Saccharomyces cerevisiae S288C: one gene and its partners. Changing the gene in region 4 together with the main gene of any one other region gives a genetic interaction. Each region holds a gene or a part of one and is shown on either strand. Other genes may lie near its edges. The genes, in order: GLO2, GAL10, GAL7 and GAL2.

Region 1 (3,064 bases), on a different chromosome or scaffold from region 4:
GGGATCCTAATTTTGGCAGTATTGACTTTCTTTATTTGGTGTTTTATTTTAAACATCTCGGCTAATCCTCCCGTCGCTTTCACCGCAAATACTAAGGCTGATAATTTTTTTATTTGCTTACAAACTGCTACTTCTGTTGTCATCGTCGCATGCCCATGTGCATTGGGACTTGCCACGCCGACTGCTATAATGGTGGGTACAGGGGTTGGAGCTCAGAATGGTGTCTTAATAAAGGGCGGAGAAGTATTGGAAAAATTCAATAGTATTACTACTTTTGTTTTTGATAAAACAGGTACCTTAACTACAGGTTTTATGGTTGTGAAAAAGTTCCTTAAAGATTCAAATTGGGTTGGAAACGTGGATGAAGACGAAGTTCTCGCCTGTATAAAAGCAACGGAATCCATTAGTGACCATCCAGTTTCGAAAGCAATTATACGTTATTGTGATGGTTTGAACTGTAATAAGGCTTTAAATGCCGTTGTTTTAGAAAGCGAATACGTGCTTGGAAAGGGAATAGTCTCAAAGTGTCAAGTTAATGGAAATACTTATGATATTTGTATTGGGAACGAGGCGCTGATTTTGGAGGATGCATTAAAAAAATCCGGATTTATTAACAGTAATGTCGACCAAGGAAACACTGTATCATACGTATCAGTAAACGGGCATGTGTTTGGCTTGTTCGAGATTAATGATGAAGTTAAACATGATTCTTACGCAACAGTTCAGTATCTACAAAGAAATGGATATGAAACGTATATGATTACTGGCGATAATAACTCAGCAGCAAAAAGAGTCGCTAGAGAAGTAGGTATAAGCTTCGAAAATGTTTACAGCGATGTGTCACCCACAGGCAAATGTGATCTCGTGAAAAAAATTCAAGATAAAGAAGGTAATAACAAGGTTGCTGTTGTTGGCGATGGCATTAACGACGCTCCCGCTTTAGCACTGAGTGATCTAGGTATTGCCATTTCAACAGGTACGGAGATTGCTATTGAAGCAGCTGATATTGTTATACTGTGCGGTAATGATCTGAATACTAATAGTTTGAGAGGACTGGCCAACGCCATCGATATTTCACTAAAAACGTTCAAAAGAATAAAGCTGAATTTGTTCTGGGCACTTTGCTATAATATATTCATGATTCCGATTGCTATGGGTGTGCTCATTCCTTGGGGCATAACTCTTCCTCCAATGCTCGCCGGTTTAGCGATGGCATTCAGCTCGGTCAGTGTCGTTCTAAGTTCATTGATGTTGAAGAAGTGGACTCCACCGGATATTGAATCACATGGGATTTCAGATTTCAAGTCCAAATTTTCGATTGGGAATTTTTGGTCAAGGCTTTTTTCTACGCGGGCTATTGCAGGTGAGCAAGACATAGAATCACAGGCCGGACTAATGTCAAACGAAGAAGTCTTGTAAATAACAGGTAAGTCTAATTTATTTAAAAAAATCCACGAGCATATAGATTTATAACAATAATAATAATTAATATTCATCAATTTTTTAGTAAATTCATATATTTTACTCCTACTCTATGTATTTTCAGTAAGTCTACTAGTCGTATTACCCGTCGGTTTCAAGGGATATTATGGAGGTAATAAGGATTTTTTTACCGATTTAAAAACCCATTATATCCCTCTTAGAAAAATTTTAGTATTCTTAGATAAGTTGCTAGATTTACCAATATCAAAGGGAAGACTGCAGGACAACACAAAAACACAAGAAAAGGAGGACAAAAAATGCAGGTTAAATCGATTAAAATGAGATGGGAGTCTGGTGGTGTTAATTACTGCTATCTATTGTCCGACAGTAAAAATAAAAAATCGTGGCTAATCGATCCAGCAGAGCCTCCTGAGGTTCTGCCAGAGTTGACTGAGGATGAGAAAATAAGTGTTGAAGCAATTGTTAATACACATCACCATTATGACCATGCAGATGGTAACGCTGATATCTTGAAGTATTTAAAAGAGAAAAATCCAACTTCAAAAGTTGAGGTTATAGGAGGGTCAAAGGACTGCCCAAAGGTTACGATAATTCCGGAGAATTTGAAAAAGTTACACCTAGGTGACTTAGAGATTACTTGTATTAGGACGCCCTGCCATACCAGAGACTCTATCTGTTATTATGTGAAAGATCCAACAACAGATGAGCGCTGCATTTTTACTGGCGATACACTATTTACCGCTGGTTGCGGTAGGTTTTTTGAGGGTACAGGCGAAGAAATGGATATAGCTCTGAACAATTCTATCTTAGAAACTGTGGGCAGGCAGAACTGGAGTAAAACGAGGGTTTATCCAGGACACGAATACACAAGTGATAATGTAAAGTTTGTTCGTAAGATTTACCCGCAAGTTGGTGAAAATAAAGCATTGGATGAGTTAGAACAATTCTGCTCCAAGCATGAAGTCACAGCAGGGCGGTTCACTTTGAAAGATGAGGTAGAATTTAATCCATTCATGAGATTAGAAGATCCAAAGGTCCAAAAAGCTGCCGGAGATACGAATAATTCATGGGACAGAGCTCAAATTATGGATAAATTGAGAGCTATGAAAAACCGTATGTAGGAAAGCCAACAGAGTATAATATACTTAAAAATATTCTTTTAGCATACCCTTTTATTTCAATGTATAAGAGTTTTTGGAACGCTACTTTATAACATTCAGGTCTGTTCACTAGAACTCTTGTAGTTGTGCCGTCATAAAAATTAGTCTTCGCGTGGCTGAAAGAAAAGTTCCAATAATACGGGCGGCTCGAGTAGAGTAATCATTGCCGTCACAAAACCATTTTCGGGTAGAAATAAAGCAATGGATATTTGAGCTCCAGAATTAAAATGGCTTTCCTTTTGCGGTTTACTATCTACTTGACTTTGGCTGGTATTTAAACACAAGTAAGAGAAGCATCAAACATGGGAAAGAAAAATAGAAAGGGAAAAGAAAATAATGCTGCTAAAACCTCTTTTCTAAAAGTAGAGAATATTAAAAACACTAATTCGGGATTGGAGCTTCCATCGCAAGACTATACAAACGTTGAAGAAAAAGAAAGTAGCCCGAAAACTGACTTTCCA
Region 2 (4,680 bases), on a different chromosome or scaffold from region 4:
CCCCAGCCAGCTCCGGTCAAACGGGAACCATATGATCCATTTGACAAAGCAATGGAACAAATTTTGTCAATCTCTGGACAAGAACATTCGTAAAGTTTATCGCAAGAAGCTTGAGACTCGTTCATCAAGGCACCAAATTGCTTGAAAAAGTCTTCGTCGGCAGTAAAGCTCGCTGTAGTCATTAATTTCACAGCCTTCAAGACTCTTAAAGATTCAGAATACACATGCTTAGCCCTCTGATATAGCTTTAAGACTTGAAATCTCACTGGAGATGTTGTTAAGTAGTCTCTTGTGAATTCTTCGCGAGAACAATTCAAGGATTGTGCGACATCGTCAACACTAAAGCCCTGTTTCTTATTGGCGAGAGACTCTTCAACTAGTACTAGCATCTTTGTTAACCGTTCGATGCCGGATTCAATATCGCCGTTCCAGGGTGTGGAAATGTTGTGATATCTGGCATAATAAACGTTCATGAAATCTCTTAGATTACCTTTATTCGTGCTCGATCCTTCTTTTCCAGAAAGTAAAACAACACCGTACGTGGCAGCTAAAACATTTGCAGCTGTAGTGACTTCTACCACTCTTAAATTATAGTTGGTTGGGGCGGTTTCAAACTTGTTAGATACAACAAGGGTGTTCGCAATAACAAAGCTAATTTCATGGTTTTTTAATTGCGGAAATTTAAACGGAGTAGCCTTCAACTGCGGTTTGAACTCAACGTATAGAGCATGATCTTCCTCACCGCAAACAGAGGCAGCCTGATCCATACCGCCATTGTTAACACCAACATAATGTTCTGCAACGACCGTAATACGCATTAAATTTTGCTTGGACATATGATAACCAGGGCCCATATTCGCTTTAACAACAGCTAAAGCAACGGCACAAATGAATGCGGCCGAAGAAGACAATCCACTGCCAGTTGGTACATCACCCTCACAGAAGACTTGCAGCCCGGCCAGAGGAGCACTGGCAAACCTTTCCGGTGCAAGTTTCTTTAGAAAAGAGTGAGCAACATGGAGACCACATTTAAAGTAATTAGACCAGTCCGACACAGAAGGATCAATTGTGACATAAGAACCGTCCAACGGCAAATCGAACTTCCTTTGAGCAAATTTGGGATCAGCATTTATTAAGGTAATGGATGGATTTTTCTCGTTCAAAACTTTGACGGCGCAAAGCATATCAAAATCAATAGCTAAAGGTAAAACCGAGAAGTCACAATAATCAATATGTTCACCAATTAGATTGACTCTACCAGGCGATCTAGCAACAAAATCCGGTTTAGCATCATAAGCGCTTATAAATTTCTTAATTATGCTCGGGCACTTTTCGGCCAATGGTCTTGGTAATTCCTTTGCGCTAGAATTGAACTCAGGTACAATCACTTCTTCTGAATGAGATTTAGTCATTATAGTTTTTTCTCCTTGACGTTAAAGTATAGAGGTATATTAACAATTTTTTGTTGATACTTTTATGACATTTGAATAAGAAGTAATACAAACTGAAAATGTTGAAAGTATTAGTTAAAGTGGTTATGCAGCTTTTCCATTTATATATCTGTTAATAGATCAAAAATCATCGCTTCGCTGATTAATTACCCCAGAAATAAGGCTAAAAAACTAATCGCATTATCATCCTATGGTTGTTAATTTGATTCGTTAATTTGAAGGTTTGTGGGGCCAGGTTACTGCCAATTTTTCCTCTTCATAACCATAAAAGCTAGTATTGTAGAATCTTTATTGTTCGGAGCAGTGCGGCGCGAGGCACATCTGCGTTTCAGGAACGCGACCGGTGAAGACGAGGACGCACGGAGGAGAGTCTTCCGTCGGAGGGCTGTCGCCCGCTCGGCGGCTTCTAATCCGTACTTCAATATAGCAATGAGCAGTTAAGCGTATTACTGAAAGTTCCAAAGAGAAGGTTTTTTTAGGCTAAGATAATGGGGCTCTTTACATTTCCACAACATATAAGTAAGATTAGATATGGATATGTATATGGTGGTAATGCCATGTAATATGATTATTAAACTTCTTTGCGTCCATCCAAAAAAAAAGTAAGAATTTTTGAAAATTCAATATAAATGACAGCTCAGTTACAAAGTGAAAGTACTTCTAAAATTGTTTTGGTTACAGGTGGTGCTGGATACATTGGTTCACACACTGTGGTAGAGCTAATTGAGAATGGATATGACTGTGTTGTTGCTGATAACCTGTCGAATTCAACTTATGATTCTGTAGCCAGGTTAGAGGTCTTGACCAAGCATCACATTCCCTTCTATGAGGTTGATTTGTGTGACCGAAAAGGTCTGGAAAAGGTTTTCAAAGAATATAAAATTGATTCGGTAATTCACTTTGCTGGTTTAAAGGCTGTAGGTGAATCTACACAAATCCCGCTGAGATACTATCACAATAACATTTTGGGAACTGTCGTTTTATTAGAGTTAATGCAACAATACAACGTTTCCAAATTTGTTTTTTCATCTTCTGCTACTGTCTATGGTGATGCTACGAGATTCCCAAATATGATTCCTATCCCAGAAGAATGTCCCTTAGGGCCTACTAATCCGTATGGTCATACGAAATACGCCATTGAGAATATCTTGAATGATCTTTACAATAGCGACAAAAAAAGTTGGAAGTTTGCTATCTTGCGTTATTTTAACCCAATTGGCGCACATCCCTCTGGATTAATCGGAGAAGATCCGCTAGGTATACCAAACAATTTGTTGCCATATATGGCTCAAGTAGCTGTTGGTAGGCGCGAGAAGCTTTACATCTTCGGAGACGATTATGATTCCAGAGATGGTACCCCGATCAGGGATTATATCCACGTAGTTGATCTAGCAAAAGGTCATATTGCAGCCCTGCAATACCTAGAGGCCTACAATGAAAATGAAGGTTTGTGTCGTGAGTGGAACTTGGGTTCCGGTAAAGGTTCTACAGTTTTTGAAGTTTATCATGCATTCTGCAAAGCTTCTGGTATTGATCTTCCATACAAAGTTACGGGCAGAAGAGCAGGTGATGTTTTGAACTTGACGGCTAAACCAGATAGGGCCAAACGCGAACTGAAATGGCAGACCGAGTTGCAGGTTGAAGACTCCTGCAAGGATTTATGGAAATGGACTACTGAGAATCCTTTTGGTTACCAGTTAAGGGGTGTCGAGGCCAGATTTTCCGCTGAAGATATGCGTTATGACGCAAGATTTGTGACTATTGGTGCCGGCACCAGATTTCAAGCCACGTTTGCCAATTTGGGCGCCAGCATTGTTGACCTGAAAGTGAACGGACAATCAGTTGTTCTTGGCTATGAAAATGAGGAAGGGTATTTGAATCCTGATAGTGCTTATATAGGCGCCACGATCGGCAGGTATGCTAATCGTATTTCGAAGGGTAAGTTTAGTTTATGCAACAAAGACTATCAGTTAACCGTTAATAACGGCGTTAATGCGAATCATAGTAGTATCGGTTCTTTCCACAGAAAAAGATTTTTGGGACCCATCATTCAAAATCCTTCAAAGGATGTTTTTACCGCCGAGTACATGCTGATAGATAATGAGAAGGACACCGAATTTCCAGGTGATCTATTGGTAACCATACAGTATACTGTGAACGTTGCCCAAAAAAGTTTGGAAATGGTATATAAAGGTAAATTGACTGCTGGTGAAGCGACGCCAATAAATTTAACAAATCATAGTTATTTCAATCTGAACAAGCCATATGGAGACACTATTGAGGGTACGGAGATTATGGTGCGTTCAAAAAAATCTGTTGATGTCGACAAAAACATGATTCCTACGGGTAATATCGTCGATAGAGAAATTGCTACCTTTAACTCTACAAAGCCAACGGTCTTAGGCCCCAAAAATCCCCAGTTTGATTGTTGTTTTGTGGTGGATGAAAATGCTAAGCCAAGTCAAATCAATACTCTAAACAATGAATTGACGCTTATTGTCAAGGCTTTTCATCCCGATTCCAATATTACATTAGAAGTTTTAAGTACAGAGCCAACTTATCAATTTTATACCGGTGATTTCTTGTCTGCTGGTTACGAAGCAAGACAAGGTTTTGCAATTGAGCCTGGTAGATACATTGATGCTATCAATCAAGAGAACTGGAAAGATTGTGTAACCTTGAAAAACGGTGAAACTTACGGGTCCAAGATTGTCTACAGATTTTCCTGATTTGCCAGCTTACTATCCTTCTTGAAAATATGCACTCTATATCTTTTAGTTCTTAATTGCAACACATAGATTTGCTGTATAACGAATTTTATGCTATTTTTTAAATTTGGAGTTCAGTGATAAAAGTGTCACAGCGAATTTCCTCACATGTAGGGACCGAATTGTTTACAAGTTCTCTGTACCACCATGGAGACATCAAAAATTGAAAATCTATGGAAAGATATGGACGGTAGCAACAAGAATATAGCACGAGCCGCGGAGTTCATTTCGTTACTTTTGATATCACTCACAACTATTGCGAAGCGCTTCAGTGAAAAAATCATAAGGAAAAGTTGTAAATATTATTGGTAGTATTCGTTTGGTAAAGTAGAGGGGGTAATTTTTCCCCTTTATTTTGTTCATACATTCTTAAATTGCTTTGCCTCTCCTTTTGGAAAGCTATACTTCGGAGCACTGTTGAGCGAAGGCTCATTAGATATATTTTCTGTCATTTTCCTTAA
Region 3 (3,662 bases), on a different chromosome or scaffold from region 4:
CCGGTAAAGGTTCTACAGTTTTTGAAGTTTATCATGCATTCTGCAAAGCTTCTGGTATTGATCTTCCATACAAAGTTACGGGCAGAAGAGCAGGTGATGTTTTGAACTTGACGGCTAAACCAGATAGGGCCAAACGCGAACTGAAATGGCAGACCGAGTTGCAGGTTGAAGACTCCTGCAAGGATTTATGGAAATGGACTACTGAGAATCCTTTTGGTTACCAGTTAAGGGGTGTCGAGGCCAGATTTTCCGCTGAAGATATGCGTTATGACGCAAGATTTGTGACTATTGGTGCCGGCACCAGATTTCAAGCCACGTTTGCCAATTTGGGCGCCAGCATTGTTGACCTGAAAGTGAACGGACAATCAGTTGTTCTTGGCTATGAAAATGAGGAAGGGTATTTGAATCCTGATAGTGCTTATATAGGCGCCACGATCGGCAGGTATGCTAATCGTATTTCGAAGGGTAAGTTTAGTTTATGCAACAAAGACTATCAGTTAACCGTTAATAACGGCGTTAATGCGAATCATAGTAGTATCGGTTCTTTCCACAGAAAAAGATTTTTGGGACCCATCATTCAAAATCCTTCAAAGGATGTTTTTACCGCCGAGTACATGCTGATAGATAATGAGAAGGACACCGAATTTCCAGGTGATCTATTGGTAACCATACAGTATACTGTGAACGTTGCCCAAAAAAGTTTGGAAATGGTATATAAAGGTAAATTGACTGCTGGTGAAGCGACGCCAATAAATTTAACAAATCATAGTTATTTCAATCTGAACAAGCCATATGGAGACACTATTGAGGGTACGGAGATTATGGTGCGTTCAAAAAAATCTGTTGATGTCGACAAAAACATGATTCCTACGGGTAATATCGTCGATAGAGAAATTGCTACCTTTAACTCTACAAAGCCAACGGTCTTAGGCCCCAAAAATCCCCAGTTTGATTGTTGTTTTGTGGTGGATGAAAATGCTAAGCCAAGTCAAATCAATACTCTAAACAATGAATTGACGCTTATTGTCAAGGCTTTTCATCCCGATTCCAATATTACATTAGAAGTTTTAAGTACAGAGCCAACTTATCAATTTTATACCGGTGATTTCTTGTCTGCTGGTTACGAAGCAAGACAAGGTTTTGCAATTGAGCCTGGTAGATACATTGATGCTATCAATCAAGAGAACTGGAAAGATTGTGTAACCTTGAAAAACGGTGAAACTTACGGGTCCAAGATTGTCTACAGATTTTCCTGATTTGCCAGCTTACTATCCTTCTTGAAAATATGCACTCTATATCTTTTAGTTCTTAATTGCAACACATAGATTTGCTGTATAACGAATTTTATGCTATTTTTTAAATTTGGAGTTCAGTGATAAAAGTGTCACAGCGAATTTCCTCACATGTAGGGACCGAATTGTTTACAAGTTCTCTGTACCACCATGGAGACATCAAAAATTGAAAATCTATGGAAAGATATGGACGGTAGCAACAAGAATATAGCACGAGCCGCGGAGTTCATTTCGTTACTTTTGATATCACTCACAACTATTGCGAAGCGCTTCAGTGAAAAAATCATAAGGAAAAGTTGTAAATATTATTGGTAGTATTCGTTTGGTAAAGTAGAGGGGGTAATTTTTCCCCTTTATTTTGTTCATACATTCTTAAATTGCTTTGCCTCTCCTTTTGGAAAGCTATACTTCGGAGCACTGTTGAGCGAAGGCTCATTAGATATATTTTCTGTCATTTTCCTTAACCCAAAAATAAGGGAAAGGGTCCAAAAAGCGCTCGGACAACTGTTGACCGTGATCCGAAGGACTGGCTATACAGTGTTCACAAAATAGCCAAGCTGAAAATAATGTGTAGCTATGTTCAGTTAGTTTGGCTAGCAAAGATATAAAAGCAGGTCGGAAATATTTATGGGCATTATTATGCAGAGCATCAACATGATAAAAAAAAACAGTTGAATATTCCCTCAAAAATGACTGCTGAAGAATTTGATTTTTCTAGCCATTCCCATAGACGTTACAATCCACTAACCGATTCATGGATCTTAGTTTCTCCACACAGAGCTAAAAGACCTTGGTTAGGTCAACAGGAGGCTGCTTACAAGCCCACAGCTCCATTGTATGATCCAAAATGCTATCTATGTCCTGGTAACAAAAGAGCTACTGGTAACCTAAACCCAAGATATGAATCAACGTATATTTTCCCCAATGATTATGCTGCCGTTAGGCTCGATCAACCTATTTTACCACAGAATGATTCCAATGAGGATAATCTTAAAAATAGGCTGCTTAAAGTGCAATCTGTGAGAGGCAATTGTTTCGTCATATGTTTTAGCCCCAATCATAATCTAACCATTCCACAAATGAAACAATCAGATCTGGTTCATATTGTTAATTCTTGGCAAGCATTGACTGACGATCTCTCCAGAGAAGCAAGAGAAAATCATAAGCCTTTCAAATATGTCCAAATATTTGAAAACAAAGGTACAGCCATGGGTTGTTCCAACTTACATCCACATGGCCAAGCTTGGTGCTTAGAATCCATCCCTAGTGAAGTTTCGCAAGAATTGAAATCTTTTGATAAATATAAACGTGAACACAATACTGATTTGTTTGCCGATTACGTCAAATTAGAATCAAGAGAGAAGTCAAGAGTCGTAGTGGAGAATGAATCCTTTATTGTTGTTGTTCCATACTGGGCCATCTGGCCATTTGAGACCTTGGTCATTTCAAAGAAGAAGCTTGCCTCAATTAGCCAATTTAACCAAATGGTGAAGGAGGACCTCGCCTCGATTTTAAAGCAACTAACTATTAAGTATGATAATTTATTTGAAACGAGTTTCCCATACTCAATGGGTATCCATCAGGCTCCTTTGAATGCGACTGGTGATGAATTGAGTAATAGTTGGTTTCACATGCATTTCTACCCACCTTTACTGAGATCAGCTACTGTTCGGAAATTCTTGGTTGGTTTTGAATTGTTAGGTGAGCCTCAAAGAGATTTAACTTCGGAACAAGCTGCTGAAAAACTAAGAAATTTAGATGGTCAGATTCATTATCTACAAAGACTGTAAAAAGAAAGTGGAATATTCATTCATATCATATTTTTTCTATTAACTGCCTGGTTTCTTTTAAATTTTTTATTGGTTGTCGACTTGAACGGAGTGACAATATATATATATATATATTTAATAATGACATCATTATCTGTAAATCTGATTCTTAATGCTATTCTAGTTATGTAAGAGTGGTCCTTTCCATAAAAAAAAAAAAAAAGAAAAAAGAATTTTAGGAATACAATGCAGCTTGTAAGTAAAATCTGGAATATTCATATCGCCACAACTTCTTATGCTTATAAAAGCACTAATGCCTGAATTTATGTTGAAAATATGTGTCACAAATAAAGAAACTGTGACATCTGACACATTTCCACTTTATTGACAAGAATAGAATTTCTTTAAGTTTCCCCTCTAGATTATTTATTTTCAAATTTTAGGCTCTGTTGAAGTTTATTACGTAGAAATTCCTACGATAGTTATTAGTCCTAATTGGATGTTGCAGCAAGGCTCATTGTCGGTGTCGTTATCGATGGAAATCCTGCACCTATGTTATTACCCTCTTTTCGTAGTTTTCTGATCCGGGTTATAGAGTTTT
Region 4 (4,298 bases):
GAAGGGAGGTTTGTTTTAACTCCTGGAAAGAACACAAAGGGTTCACTTTGGTTGAAACCTGAATATTCAATAAAGGATGCAATGACAATAGAGTGGACGTTTAGAAGTTTCGGGTTCAGAGGCAGCACAAAGGGGGGTCTTGCATTTTGGCTGAAGCAAGGAAATGAGGGAGATAGTACCGAGTTATTTGGTGGAAGTTCGAAGAAGTTTAATGGTTTGATGATATTGTTACGATTAGACGATAAGTTGGGAGAGAGCGTGACAGCGTATTTGAATGACGGAACAAAAGATCTTGATATTGAATCCTCACCGTACTTTGCGTCATGTCTGTTCCAATACCAGGATTCCATGGTACCATCAACATTAAGATTGACTTACAATCCACTAGATAATCACTTGTTAAAGTTGCAAATGGACAACAGAGTGTGTTTCCAGACAAGGAAAGTTAAATTTATGGGCAGCAGCCCATTTAGGATTGGAACAAGTGCTATCAACGATGCATCCAAAGAATCGTTTGAAATCTTGAAAATGAAGCTTTATGACGGAGTTATAGAGGATTCGCTAATTCCTAACGTGAATCCTATGGGACAACCCAGAGTGGTTACTAAAGTGATCAATTCTCAAACTGGTGAAGAGAGTTTCAGGGAAAAGATGCCATTTTCTGATAAGGAAGAAAGTATAACGAGTAACGAGCTTTTCGAAAAGATGAACAAGTTGGAGGGGAAAATCATGGCAAATGATATCGATCCATTACTCCGCAAGATGAACAAGATTGTGGAGAATGAACGTGAACTGATTCAACGTTTAAGACCACTGTTAGATCTGAAGAAAACAGCCATAAGTGACGATAGTTTCCAAGATTTTCTTTCGATGAACGCAAACCTGGACAGATTGATAAAAGAACAAGAAAAAATTCGACAAGATGCCAAGCTGTATGGCAAGCAGACCAAAGGTCATGATGAGATATTTTCCAAAATAAGTGTATGGTTGGCACTGCTGATTTTCATTATGATCACATTGGCGTACTACATGTTTAGAATTAACCAAGACATCAAGAAGGTCAAACTTCTGTAAGCTCTTGTGTCTTTGTTATATGGGTACAAGATATAAGAAACATAACTATTACATACGAAAATGTGCATGTTATCTATATCCTTCTTTATATAGATGCTGTTAACTTCTTTTTTTTTTTTTGGGAAAATCAACTGTTAAACGCGACAGTAAAAGCAGCAAAACATTAATTTTGCTTCCAAGACGACAGTAATATGTCTCCTACAATACCAGTTTCGCTGCAGAAGGCACATCTATTACATTTACTGAGCATAACGGGCTGTACTAATCCAAGGAGGTTTACGGACCAGGGGAACTTTCCAGATTCAGATCACAGCAATATAGGACTAGAAAATATCAGGTAGCCGCACTCAACTTGTAACTGGCAACTACTTTGCATCAAACTCCAATTAAATGCGGTAGAATCTTTTCACAAAAGGTACTCAACGTCAATTCGGAAAGCTTCCTTCCGGAATGGCTTAAGTAGGTTGCAATTTCTTTTTCTATTAGTAGCTAAAAATGGGTCACGTGATCTATATTCGAAAGGGGCGGTTGCCTCAGGAAGGCACCGGCGGTCTTTCGTCCGTGCGGAGATATCTGCGCCGTTCAGGGGTCCATGTGCCTTGGACGATATTAAGGCAGAAGGCAGTATCGGGGCGGATCACTCCGAACCGAGATTAGTTAAGCCCTTCCCATCTCAAGATGGGGAGCAAATGGCATTATACTCCTGCTAGAAAGTTAACTGTGCACATATTCTTAAATTATACAACATTCTGGAGAGCTATTGTTCAAAAAACAAACATTTCGCAGGCTAAAATGTGGAGATAGGATAAGTTTTGTAGACATATATAAACAATCAGTAATTGGATTGAAAATTTGGTGTTGTGAATTGCTCTTCATTATGCACCTTATTCAATTATCATCAAGAATAGTAATAGTTAAGTAAACACAAGATTAACATAATAAAAAAAATAATTCTTTCATAATGGCAGTTGAGGAGAACAATATGCCTGTTGTTTCACAGCAACCCCAAGCTGGTGAAGACGTGATCTCTTCACTCAGTAAAGATTCCCATTTAAGCGCACAATCTCAAAAGTATTCTAATGATGAATTGAAAGCCGGTGAGTCAGGGTCTGAAGGCTCCCAAAGTGTTCCTATAGAGATACCCAAGAAGCCCATGTCTGAATATGTTACCGTTTCCTTGCTTTGTTTGTGTGTTGCCTTCGGCGGCTTCATGTTTGGCTGGGATACCGGTACTATTTCTGGGTTTGTTGTCCAAACAGACTTTTTGAGAAGGTTTGGTATGAAACATAAGGATGGTACCCACTATTTGTCAAACGTCAGAACAGGTTTAATCGTCGCCATTTTCAATATTGGCTGTGCCTTTGGTGGTATTATACTTTCCAAAGGTGGAGATATGTATGGCCGTAAAAAGGGTCTTTCGATTGTCGTCTCGGTTTATATAGTTGGTATTATCATTCAAATTGCCTCTATCAACAAGTGGTACCAATATTTCATTGGTAGAATCATATCTGGTTTGGGTGTCGGCGGCATCGCCGTCTTATGTCCTATGTTGATCTCTGAAATTGCTCCAAAGCACTTGAGAGGCACACTAGTTTCTTGTTATCAGCTGATGATTACTGCAGGTATCTTTTTGGGCTACTGTACTAATTACGGTACAAAGAGCTATTCGAACTCAGTTCAATGGAGAGTTCCATTAGGGCTATGTTTCGCTTGGTCATTATTTATGATTGGCGCTTTGACGTTAGTTCCTGAATCCCCACGTTATTTATGTGAGGTGAATAAGGTAGAAGACGCCAAGCGTTCCATTGCTAAGTCTAACAAGGTGTCACCAGAGGATCCTGCCGTCCAGGCAGAGTTAGATCTGATCATGGCCGGTATAGAAGCTGAAAAACTGGCTGGCAATGCGTCCTGGGGGGAATTATTTTCCACCAAGACCAAAGTATTTCAACGTTTGTTGATGGGTGTGTTTGTTCAAATGTTCCAACAATTAACCGGTAACAATTATTTTTTCTACTACGGTACCGTTATTTTCAAGTCAGTTGGCCTGGATGATTCCTTTGAAACATCCATTGTCATTGGTGTAGTCAACTTTGCCTCCACTTTCTTTAGTTTGTGGACTGTCGAAAACTTGGGACATCGTAAATGTTTACTTTTGGGCGCTGCCACTATGATGGCTTGTATGGTCATCTACGCCTCTGTTGGTGTTACTAGATTATATCCTCACGGTAAAAGCCAGCCATCTTCTAAAGGTGCCGGTAACTGTATGATTGTCTTTACCTGTTTTTATATTTTCTGTTATGCCACAACCTGGGCGCCAGTTGCCTGGGTCATCACAGCAGAATCATTCCCACTGAGAGTCAAGTCGAAATGTATGGCGTTGGCCTCTGCTTCCAATTGGGTATGGGGGTTCTTGATTGCATTTTTCACCCCATTCATCACATCTGCCATTAACTTCTACTACGGTTATGTCTTCATGGGCTGTTTGGTTGCCATGTTTTTTTATGTCTTTTTCTTTGTTCCAGAAACTAAAGGCCTATCGTTAGAAGAAATTCAAGAATTATGGGAAGAAGGTGTTTTACCTTGGAAATCTGAAGGCTGGATTCCTTCATCCAGAAGAGGTAATAATTACGATTTAGAGGATTTACAACATGACGACAAACCGTGGTACAAGGCCATGCTAGAATAATGCGTTTGAAGTGAGACGCTCCATCATCTCTCTTAATTTTTCATGACTGACGTTTTTTCTTCATTTTAATTATCATAGTATTTGTTTGAAAAAAAAAAAAAAAAATTTCCCTTATCAATGATATCCTTACGATTATATAAATTCCTTACCTAAACCTATTATTTGTGTACATATATCAGAGTATTATTACATATATAACCTTTTTCTCTAAAACAGGAAAAAAAAAAGAAAACGATAACATGCTCTGCCATCCTTTGTTCACCGAGCAAAATTAAAAACGCAAAATGAATTGTCCCTATGAAATTATTAAAGGACCACATCACCAGACTTATCTCTGGGGGGTCCTCTAGAAAATAAGTCAGGTACTTGCCTGGACTTTCTTCCAGTTGAATTCCTGAGCTAACATACAATTAATGGAGTGAGAATGTTCGAACGATCCAGGAGTTGCTTTTTTCAGTCATTTGTTTATCAGTGTAACAAGCATTTCCTTTATTTCTTTTATATCAACCTGCAACCTATTAATATTCAATTCAACGTC

The links.
Region 1: mutations in GAL2 (region 4) and GLO2 together harm fitness more than expected from each alone (negative genetic interaction), as found in Saccharomyces cerevisiae (2 studies listed by BioGRID).
Region 2: mutations in GAL2 (region 4) and GAL10 impair growth when combined (synthetic growth defect), as found in Saccharomyces cerevisiae (2 studies listed by BioGRID, with this or other methods).
Region 3: mutations in GAL2 (region 4) and GAL7 impair growth when combined (synthetic growth defect), as found in Saccharomyces cerevisiae (2 studies listed by BioGRID, with this or other methods).

What each region holds. Positions count from the first base shown.
Region 1 is NC_001136.10:1,007,271-1,010,334, forward strand, and holds GLO2 (hydroxyacylglutathione hydrolase GLO2), read left to right. Parts: upstream 1-1,739; coding exon 1,740-2,564; downstream 2,565-3,064. Other genes in the region: Cu(2+)-transporting P-type ATPase CCC2, read left to right, coding at 1-1,419; DON1 (Don1p), read left to right, coding at 2,906-3,064. UniProt on the Saccharomyces cerevisiae protein: Thiolesterase that catalyzes the hydrolysis of S-D-lactoylglutathione to form glutathione and D-lactic acid.
Region 2 is NC_001134.8:275,753-280,432, reverse strand, and holds GAL10 (bifunctional UDP-glucose 4-epimerase/aldose 1-epimerase), read left to right. Parts: upstream 1-2,080; coding exon 2,081-4,180; downstream 4,181-4,680. Other genes in the region: GAL1 (galactokinase), read right to left, coding at 1-1,412. UniProt on the Saccharomyces cerevisiae protein: Mutarotase converts alpha-aldose to the beta-anomer. It is active on D-glucose, L-arabinose, D-xylose, D-galactose, maltose and lactose.
Region 3 is NC_001134.8:273,847-277,508, reverse strand, and holds GAL7 (UDP-glucose:hexose-1-phosphate uridylyltransferase), read left to right. Parts: upstream 1-1,981; coding exon 1,982-3,082; downstream 3,083-3,662. Other genes in the region: GAL10 (bifunctional UDP-glucose 4-epimerase/aldose 1-epimerase), read left to right, coding at 1-1,256.
Region 4 is NC_001144.5:288,177-292,474, forward strand, and holds GAL2 (galactose permease GAL2), read left to right. Parts: upstream 1-2,035; coding exon 2,036-3,760; downstream 3,761-4,298. Other genes in the region: EMP46 (Emp46p), read left to right, coding at 1-1,074; SRL2 (Srl2p), read right to left, coding at 4,218-4,298. UniProt on the Saccharomyces cerevisiae protein: GAL2 is a facilitated diffusion transporter required for both the high-affinity galactokinase-dependent and low-affinity galactokinase-independent galactose transport processes.